Linked DNA regions of Danio rerio. The protein of the gene in region 2 binds, or shares a complex with, the protein of the main gene of each other region. Links are inferred from orthologs where the notes say so. Each region holds a gene or a part of one and is shown on either strand. Other genes may lie near its edges.

Region 1 (4,443 bases), about 17 Mb from region 2:
TATATATATATATATATATATATATATATATATATATATATATAAATAAATTACATAAACAACAGCCCACTACAATAAAAATAAAAGTAGACCTTAATATATTGATGCATCCATTGCCGTTGGTCAGGAAGAACATGTCATTGTCATTATTCCAGGAGATTTCGTTGACCTCAAACTTGAACTGCTCCTCAGCACGTGGACGGTGTGTTTTGGCATCAATGAACGTTACAACATCATCCTTGTTACCTACAGCGATGGTCTGACCATCAGGACTCCAGCAAATGTTGATATTCTCCCCTAAACATAGTCAGACAATCAATAAACCAATAAATAATATAATCTCACAAGAATAAAACATATAACATTGAAAGCCATAGCTCAATCCTCAAGAGTTTCTAAAGTTGAGTTTATTTTGTCTGTTAAAAACAACAGAAGATGTTTAGAAAAATGTTGGAAATTGCCATCCATAAAATGAAAAACAAATACTACGGTAGTCAATAAGTAACGATTTCCAATGTTCTTTAAAATGTTATATTTTGTGTTCAATGGTGGGTAAATGATGAGAGAGTATTCATTTTTGTGTAAACTATCACTTTAAGCTTTAGAGCTTCACCTTTTGTGCTGACTGTGGCCATGCATTTGGTGGTCCGCACATCCCAGATGCGGATGGTCTTGTCTCCTGATGCAGTAACGAACAGATCAGGGTTGGTGGGATGCCAGCACAGCTGATCCACACTGTCTCCATGCCCACGGTAGTTGTTTTCCTTCACCTAATACATATGATAATACATGAGCTAGATCACATCTAGTCAAGACAAATAAATTGTAAAATAATAAACCGCATTGTAGCCAATGCTGTGAATATTAACCGTTTTTTCTGATATAGAATAAGTATAGTAATGTTTTTGGCAAATGGATGACCTATAAAAGCTTGTTATTGCAGCTAAAACATAATTAATATGCATAATGTCAATGAAATGATAAGTAATTTTGCAGACATTAAATTAATTAGTAACTTGATTAGGTATTTGCCATTGACTTCTGTACAGGTCTGTCATTGAGATGTCACAATTGTCACAAGATGTCAGTTTTCACAATGTATTCCGATTGTGACAATGTTTATAAACTGGTAGTAATTCATTAGCTACCGATTATCATTAGAAACTAGTTCTTATTCATTAAGTACATACTGAAAAGATACTAGTACATACAACGCCATCTACTCATGTTTATTATATCTTTATTTAACTAGCACATGTTTAATTGAACACTTATACAGTCATCCAAAATAGTCAAAATGTGACAAGTAAAAATAAAAAATAAAAATCAGTAGTGACTCGTAATACTAGTAGCAACTCATAACAACTACATAAAAATACTTGTGCCAAATAAATGAGTACTAGGATACAATAAATAACTACTAGCATCTGTTAAAGAGGTACTTGTAATAAGAATGAGTTTCTAATAAATGATGGAGTATCTAATAAGTAAATACTGCTTTCTAAATAAAAACAAAGCATTTATTAGATATGACAGTACAACTTTACAATAAGGTTTCATTAGATAATGAGGTTACTATAATGAAAAACAACAAACAGTATTTATACATCTTTGTTAATGTTTTTTACTGAAAATAAGCCTCATTGTTGGTTCTTGCCAACTCACAGTGCATTTACTAATGTTAACAAGTGCTGTTTTGCATCAGGAGATGAGCGCTGTTTTGCATCAGGAGATGAGAGCTGTTTTAGATTTTTGTAGGCATGGGATTGTAGGTATAAGATTCTGACAGTAAGATAACCTTGGACAAAAATATCCCGGTTTGACGGTATTGTGATTACTGTTCTAAAATATATTATTTTTAAATGTCAGGGTAAAAGACTAAAAACTTTTTCCCCCTTTGAACACAATATATTTTATTTTGAGAAAGACTTTAAATATTTTAAAACAGTAAACATGTAAAACAAGTTTGCATATCTTTTCTGCTGGACACACTGTTGTCCTAAAACAACAACAACAAAAACCATAAATTAAAAAAAATCGTACATATACCATAGGAATGGTATAGAAGAAAATGTTGGAGGTTTTAAAACCTTGACTTTTCCTAACCGTGGTATACCTTGAAAACGGTTATTGTCCAATGCCTGAATGGAAGTGCTGTACAAGTTTTGTTTATTATTAGGTTATGCTGGTAAATTAGTTAACATTATCAATGGAACCTTATTGTAGAGCGTGATCACTTTGTGTGTCTAACAATTATACACTAGTACATATTGAAAAAGCCCTTATTTCCAATAAAATCCACCCAAATATCAGTACTTGCAGAATAACTAGTCATAGTAAAAATATGTACTAGACAATTATTAAAAACCTCACATTCCAATAACAGACTGCGATAGAAGTAGTTACTTGACACTTTTGAAATAAATACTAGTATGAAATAAATGAGAACAAGTGTGTGATGATGAGTAAATAGTATTTAAACAAAAATATACTATTCATACGTGTCTAATTAATGAGTAGTACCTATTTAATAGCTACGAGTGTCTAATTTATTGTCTAAAATGAATCTAAAATTCATCTAATGAAAACTAACTTGTAGTAGTAGCTAAATAATAACTGTTGGCTAAATATCAACAAGTGTACTGAATACGTATCAGTACTTAATGAAAAAGACACACATATCTAAAAATAGGTATTAACGTTAGTAGCATAAAACTGATACTAGTTTAGTTTACAGATTAAATGTTAAACAGCTTGTTCTACGCAGAACGTGGTTTATAAATTAAATATATGTTTTGGACAACGAAGGATGATGGAGAAGACAAAGCTCACCAGTCGGTCTTTTTCCAGGACAAATACGCTGGCAGTTTTGTCAAACGAACCGGACGCCAGTCGTTTTCCATCACAGCTCCAGGCCACCGAGTGCACTTTAGCACTGTGAGCCGGGAACTCTCTGCTTTTATTGTTATTCCTGAACACCTCCTGCATCTCCTGATAGTACGAGGACGCCATGCTTGAAGTTCTGCTTCGTCGCGTATTTAAGCTTAATCTGTGGCATTGCGTTACTTACCGACACCTAGTGTACGGGAGTGCAATTACATAATATTGTTTAAAAAAGTCTGATACAAATAACTTTCTTTTCTTTTTTTAGTTTTATTATTGTCAGGGTAACAATAACATCATCATACATTTGTTACAAAGAGAGCACATGAGTTTTACAGAGAAGTAAAACATCAAATAAGCACATACAAGGGAAAAAATTTACTAAAAAACAAACAACACATATTATAAAATCATGTGTTTTAAGGAAGCAATAGTTTTAATGTACTGTTGAAGTTCCTTTTCAAAAATATTAAAACAAAATATAGCCTAGAGTGAGAGAATTTACAGCTGTGTATATGGAATTTAGCAAGGATTAAAAGGAGATTAATTATGAAACACTCCTTACTTTTATTATCGGGAATATTGAAAAAACCCAACAGGATATCCTTAAAAGATAACACGAATTAGTATTTTGCAATGAATAACCAAAAAAAAGTTCAATCCAAAAGCATTGTGCATGAGGGCAAATAAAAAACAAATATATGATCAGCAGTTTCACTAGGGATACAAATCTTAAATTTAAAATGATGATATAAAATGAAAAAAAAATCACAAAAGTAAACATTATGAGATAAACAGTTAACAGTGAAGAAATTTTATTATTTTTTTTTGTAAAAATTGCTATTAGGTTAAAAAAATGACAAAATATGAAAATGTGCTAATTTGTTATGAATGTGATAAATAAGTTGAAATGATGGGGTAAACATTGTGAGATGAAAATCCTAAATCAAATAATGGTCAATTAAGAGAAGGTCAAAATTATATTATATCTCATAAAAATGAAACAAAAGGTTTGTATTATGCCAAAAGTTCATATAAGTGTGAAGTACAATCATAGGTCTACCAAATCTAAGTAAACTAGGCTAGGCTATAGGCAAAAAGCTTTGAAAACATTGAGATAAATAAAAATGTCAAAACTGTCAAATGTCAAAATCATGGAATATGAGCTATATATAATTTAAGCCAAAAGCCTCATTTATAAATCAGATCATTTAAACTTCAGTCAGTGGCCTACTGTGTTTTATGTTGTTTGTTAAATTGTCTTCTCGTGTAATGGAAGAACTCAAAGTCAGGTCACTGTGGTAGGCTACTTTGGATGGTTGTAGGAACTTTAGAAAGTCAGGAGTAGCTACATATAAAAATAAAGTTTATTTTCTGTGTACTTTGTGTAAGTAGTTTTGTCATCAGTGTTTTTGGTAAAGAGGACATCAGTTCGCGGGCAGAGTCCATGGTCAATCCACGTACAGCGCTGACTCCCACTGACCACACGGCGGAGCTCCATCCTCCTAATAATATCCAGTGCACTTCGGTGAGGGAGAAGTCGAAGTGGATGAGGTTGTG
Region 2 (3,830 bases):
AGCGGGTGTTGTCGCCGCGCGCGTGCTGAATAGCGGTGCTGTCGCGCGCGTTCTGATCAGCTGTGTTGTGGCGCGCGTTCTGATCAGCTGTGTTGTGGCGCGCGTATTGTAAAGCGCCGAGGGGGGGTTGAGCGCGCATATTCAAGAGAGGTGTTGTCGCGCGCCTACTGAAGGGCTGGACTGGACGGAGGGTGTGTCGCGTCGCGGGGGCACTTTTGATCGTTTTGGAAGGGCATTTTCTATCCAAGACTAAAAAGGGCATGTGCACTGCACAGGTTGAGCCCTATGTGTGCACGTGCCTGCAAGTTGGGGAATACGACTAATAACAGTCATGGGGACTGCAGAAACACAGCACACTGTTCAGATTGATGCAGACATTGACTTGTACTGCAAAGAGACCTCTATCTCACTCATGATTTGTCTTCTCAAGTGGGGGAAAGACAATGCACAATGTTACCCCACTGCTGTCAACCTGGGCCAAGTCATATCTCTCTTGTTCCAGAAACCTCAGTCCCAAATGAGAGGGGTTTTTTTCTGTTGCAGGGGACATTGTAAATGCCCAGAGATACCAGCTTTTACCAGATTATAATTATATGATAATTTTCCTTTAAACCCATCTCTATCTAAGTGAGTGAGTGATTAAATGTTGAATGTGATGAGTTTTCAACAATACTAAATTGAAACTTTATTTTTTTACATGGTTTAATATTTTTTTGTTATTAAAATTGAAGTTAGTGTTTCAAAGCTTACAGATAGATGGCTAATTTGTATGTCATTGACACTTTTGGCACTTTTTTTGGAGTATTTTCAAAAGTTTTTTTTTTCCTGTAAATGATTCAATAAATACCGTACCGTGACATTCATACCGAGGTATTACCGAACCGTGAAATTCTGATACCGTTACATCCCTAGTATGTATGTATGTATGTATGTATTTTTTTTATGAATTTATATATATTTTTATTTATAACAAATTTACCAGTAAGGACCTATTTACACATACAGACCTTTCCGGAAAATTGCTGGTAATTTTCCAGAAAGGTCTGTATGTGTGAAAGGGGCTCATTTCTACACGTTTCTTAAAATCAGAATAATTTATTGTTACCAAGTTTCATTTTAAAAAGACAAAATCATTTTGTTATTTAATAAGTAATTACTGCAAATTATTTTTGATTTCGTCATTTTTTTGTTTGCAAACATCTAAAAATTCACAGTTCACAGCTACTACTAGGACAGTGTAGAGACAGCATTAACAGTTTAAACGAATCATCAATCATAAAGGCACACCATACCTTCTCATAAATGGCTCTGTCACTGTGCCATCGAGTGACAGTCTCTAACATGCAACACAAAAAACGACCATATCGGCGGGACTCATTCTCTGTGCAACTCGCTACCGTATAGATGATATCAGAGAAGACCTAGATGAATAAAGAAACAGATTTAGAGGGTTAGTAGGTTGACAATGCACACAGGGTCATGGATTTTTAATGAATATAAAATGATTATAAATACTTTGAACATTTAGATAAAAACTAAATGACAGCATCAAACTTGAATGCTAGATAATACTGTATTCTCTTTGACTGCAGTCACTGGCACAGAAACACATGGCAAGCAAGCTGTTGTTTAGCAGAATTAAGGGTGCTTTCACACCTTTGAATCGATTCAGTTGTCCCGAAACAGGGATTAAAATTGTTACATTGTTGCTCTTTGCTCTTGGTCCGGTTCGCTTTCACACTGCAAAGTTTATAAACGGACCAAAAGAACTAAAACAAGTCATGTGTGAGTAAACTTTCCTCACATAGAGTCCTGCTCAGCTGTCAGGTGTGGTAGTGATTTGGTATTGTTTGACAGGGTGCACGCGACGTGTCTGAAGAGCGAGGAAGGATAAGGTGGGAAGGGGTGAGAAGGGTGTGCAACGTATTTGAGGAACGGGAGGGAGATGCGTGATTTCCGGGACATTATCGCTCGTTTACGGGCATCCTGGAGTCTCTGTGCATTTGCGGCAGACCTCCGAAACTTCTGGGAGACTTGGGATGTCTGTTGAATGACCTCCCGCCCTACTAATAATTTTCTTCATATAGCCATATGCCTATTATAATATCCATAAAACACTGTGATATGACTGGGCACGGATCGTATCGCTTTCTCGCTACAATCGATCCACTCCAGAGTTCGTTTCAATCGAGCCAAGACCATCTCGGAGCTATTGTTTTGGCGCAGATCAGAGCGCGATTGGTGGTTTCACATATGCCAAACGAACCGCGCTAACTCTGCAAAATGAGACGGGTTCCGAAACAAAAGTCTAGGTGTGAAAGCACCCTAAGATGGCATTTTCATGAAGAGATTACACAACTGAGCATAGCTGTGATCGTCATGCACATCTTGTCAGGGAATCACAGTTGTGTGATCAATAGTAAATCTACCAAGGTCAGAGGGCACTTCAGCATGAACAATAATTACATAATTACAGAATAATCTAAAAGAAGCATTTATTTTAGATACTCCTCATTTGTAGTAATTTCACATGCAAAATTTACTACACAGCCCTAATTCATTGAGAAACAATACAGACACCTCTCATTATCTCGGTGTCCTTACTGTCCAACTAAATCAGTTTTGACTTTGTAGCTTGTCCATTTGGTTTATTTATTGCCACATCAGCAACTTATTGCCATTGGATGGCATAATCAATAGACATTAAACATTAAACAATTGACATTTTCATGTCAATATATGATAAATAACTAAAAATTCTCCCTGGGTATATATTTTAAATTTGTTGGTTTATGAAGTATGATTTTGAGAAGTAAATGCTATTCTGAAAGCATGTGCTGGAGGTTTACTACAAGCAGCTTTATAAACAAAATGCACATGAAAATCCACTCCAATTAATTGCCCAGGAAAGCCCAGACCAAACACACACACACAAACAAATATATATTTTATAGCCTGTTTGTTGAAAGTGCCTTTAATGGTCTGTCATACAACAGTAGACTCACTCTGTCATAGCAAAGTAGGGTGCAGAAGTTGGGCGTTTTCTGCTGGTGAACCAGCTCCACAAAGCGAGCGCAGTAAACAGCATCAATGGCTGAGAAGACACAACGGGGGAAGATGCAGAGCTGAAGGAACTTAGTGATGGTTTCATTCTTAGTGGATTCTGAGGAGGGAAAAAAAGGCATGAGTCCAAAAAAAAAAAAAAAAAAAAAAAAACCTGAGCACAAAAGAGATTATTCAAACACTCACTGGCGAGTAACCAATTGTCTTTCTCCAGTTTGAGACGATGCAGAACTCTCTGCACATGCTCCAACTGTTTCTTCTCCTCTTCTTGTAGCTTGTCCTGCAGAGCTGTACAGCGTTCCTTCTCCTTTTTCTTTTTATTTGGAGGCTACAATGTAGAGAACAGTTTTATGAGAAATATCTGATGGAAGAAAGACCCAAAGATTCAGCAGTGTCTCTAGCTATGTTATGGTGTTAGAAATATACAAGAAATTGAAAATATCTAAAAAAAAATTAAAAATAAAAAACAATGAGCTGAAAAATCAATCTGGAGAGTTTGATCGGCAGTTTCCACAACTGCCAATACAGAAGAGCTGATCAGATGACACAAAATGCATGAGACATTTTTTTTCATAATGCAAGCATGGCAGTTCTACAAGGTCTGTGAAATATGTCTTATGTGCTTATGCAGCAGACTGTGGCTGCATCCGAAACCACCTACTACTCAGTAGGTACTGCATTTGAATTTAAACGTACTACTCGGTCGTTAGAAAAGTACGTTCTATACAGTATGAATGTGAAAGTATGAATGGAATTCGGACGTACTA

What was found.
Region 1: the proteins of thoc2 (region 2) and thoc3 are in contact, whole or in part, in a cryo-EM structure (PDB 7ZNL), measured with the Homo sapiens proteins. The link is inferred for Danio rerio from reciprocal best matches to the Homo sapiens genes THOC2 and THOC3. Residues at the interface, in NP_001075019.1 of Homo sapiens: Tyr395, Arg396, Pro401, Lys402, Gly403, Ala404, Lys405, Gly406, Ser407, Pro446, Ile447, Ala450, Arg454, Cys500, Asn501, Ala502, Cys503, Met504, Glu506, Pro563, Arg566, Gln567, Lys570, His573, Tyr603, Leu604, Thr605; in NP_115737.1 of Homo sapiens: Asp193, Met196, Ile208, Val217, Gln218, Asn221, Ala222, Pro224, Ser225, Ala244, Asp245, Ala246, Leu247, Ser249, Trp251, Asp252, Asp254, Glu255, Leu256, Val257, Cys258, Val259, Cys261, Ser263, Leu265, Asp266, Pro268.

Annotation. Positions count from the first base shown.
Region 1 is NC_133189.1:29,777,438-29,781,880, reverse strand, and holds the start of thoc3 (THO complex subunit 3), read right to left. Parts: upstream 3,025-4,443; 5' UTR 3,013-3,024; coding exon 2,833-3,012; intron 771-2,832; coding exon 614-770; intron 298-613; coding exon 93-297; intron 1-92. UniProt on the Homo sapiens protein: Component of the THO subcomplex of the TREX complex which is thought to couple mRNA transcription, processing and nuclear export, and which specifically associates with spliced mRNA and not with unspliced pre-mRNA.
Region 2 is NC_133189.1:13,018,380-13,022,209, reverse strand, and holds part of thoc2 (THO complex subunit 2), read right to left. Parts: intron 3,392-3,830; coding exon 3,250-3,391; intron 3,164-3,249; coding exon 3,006-3,163; intron 1,422-3,005; coding exon 1,293-1,421; intron 1-1,292. UniProt on the Homo sapiens protein: Component of the THO subcomplex of the TREX complex which is thought to couple mRNA transcription, processing and nuclear export, and which specifically associates with spliced mRNA and not with unspliced pre-mRNA.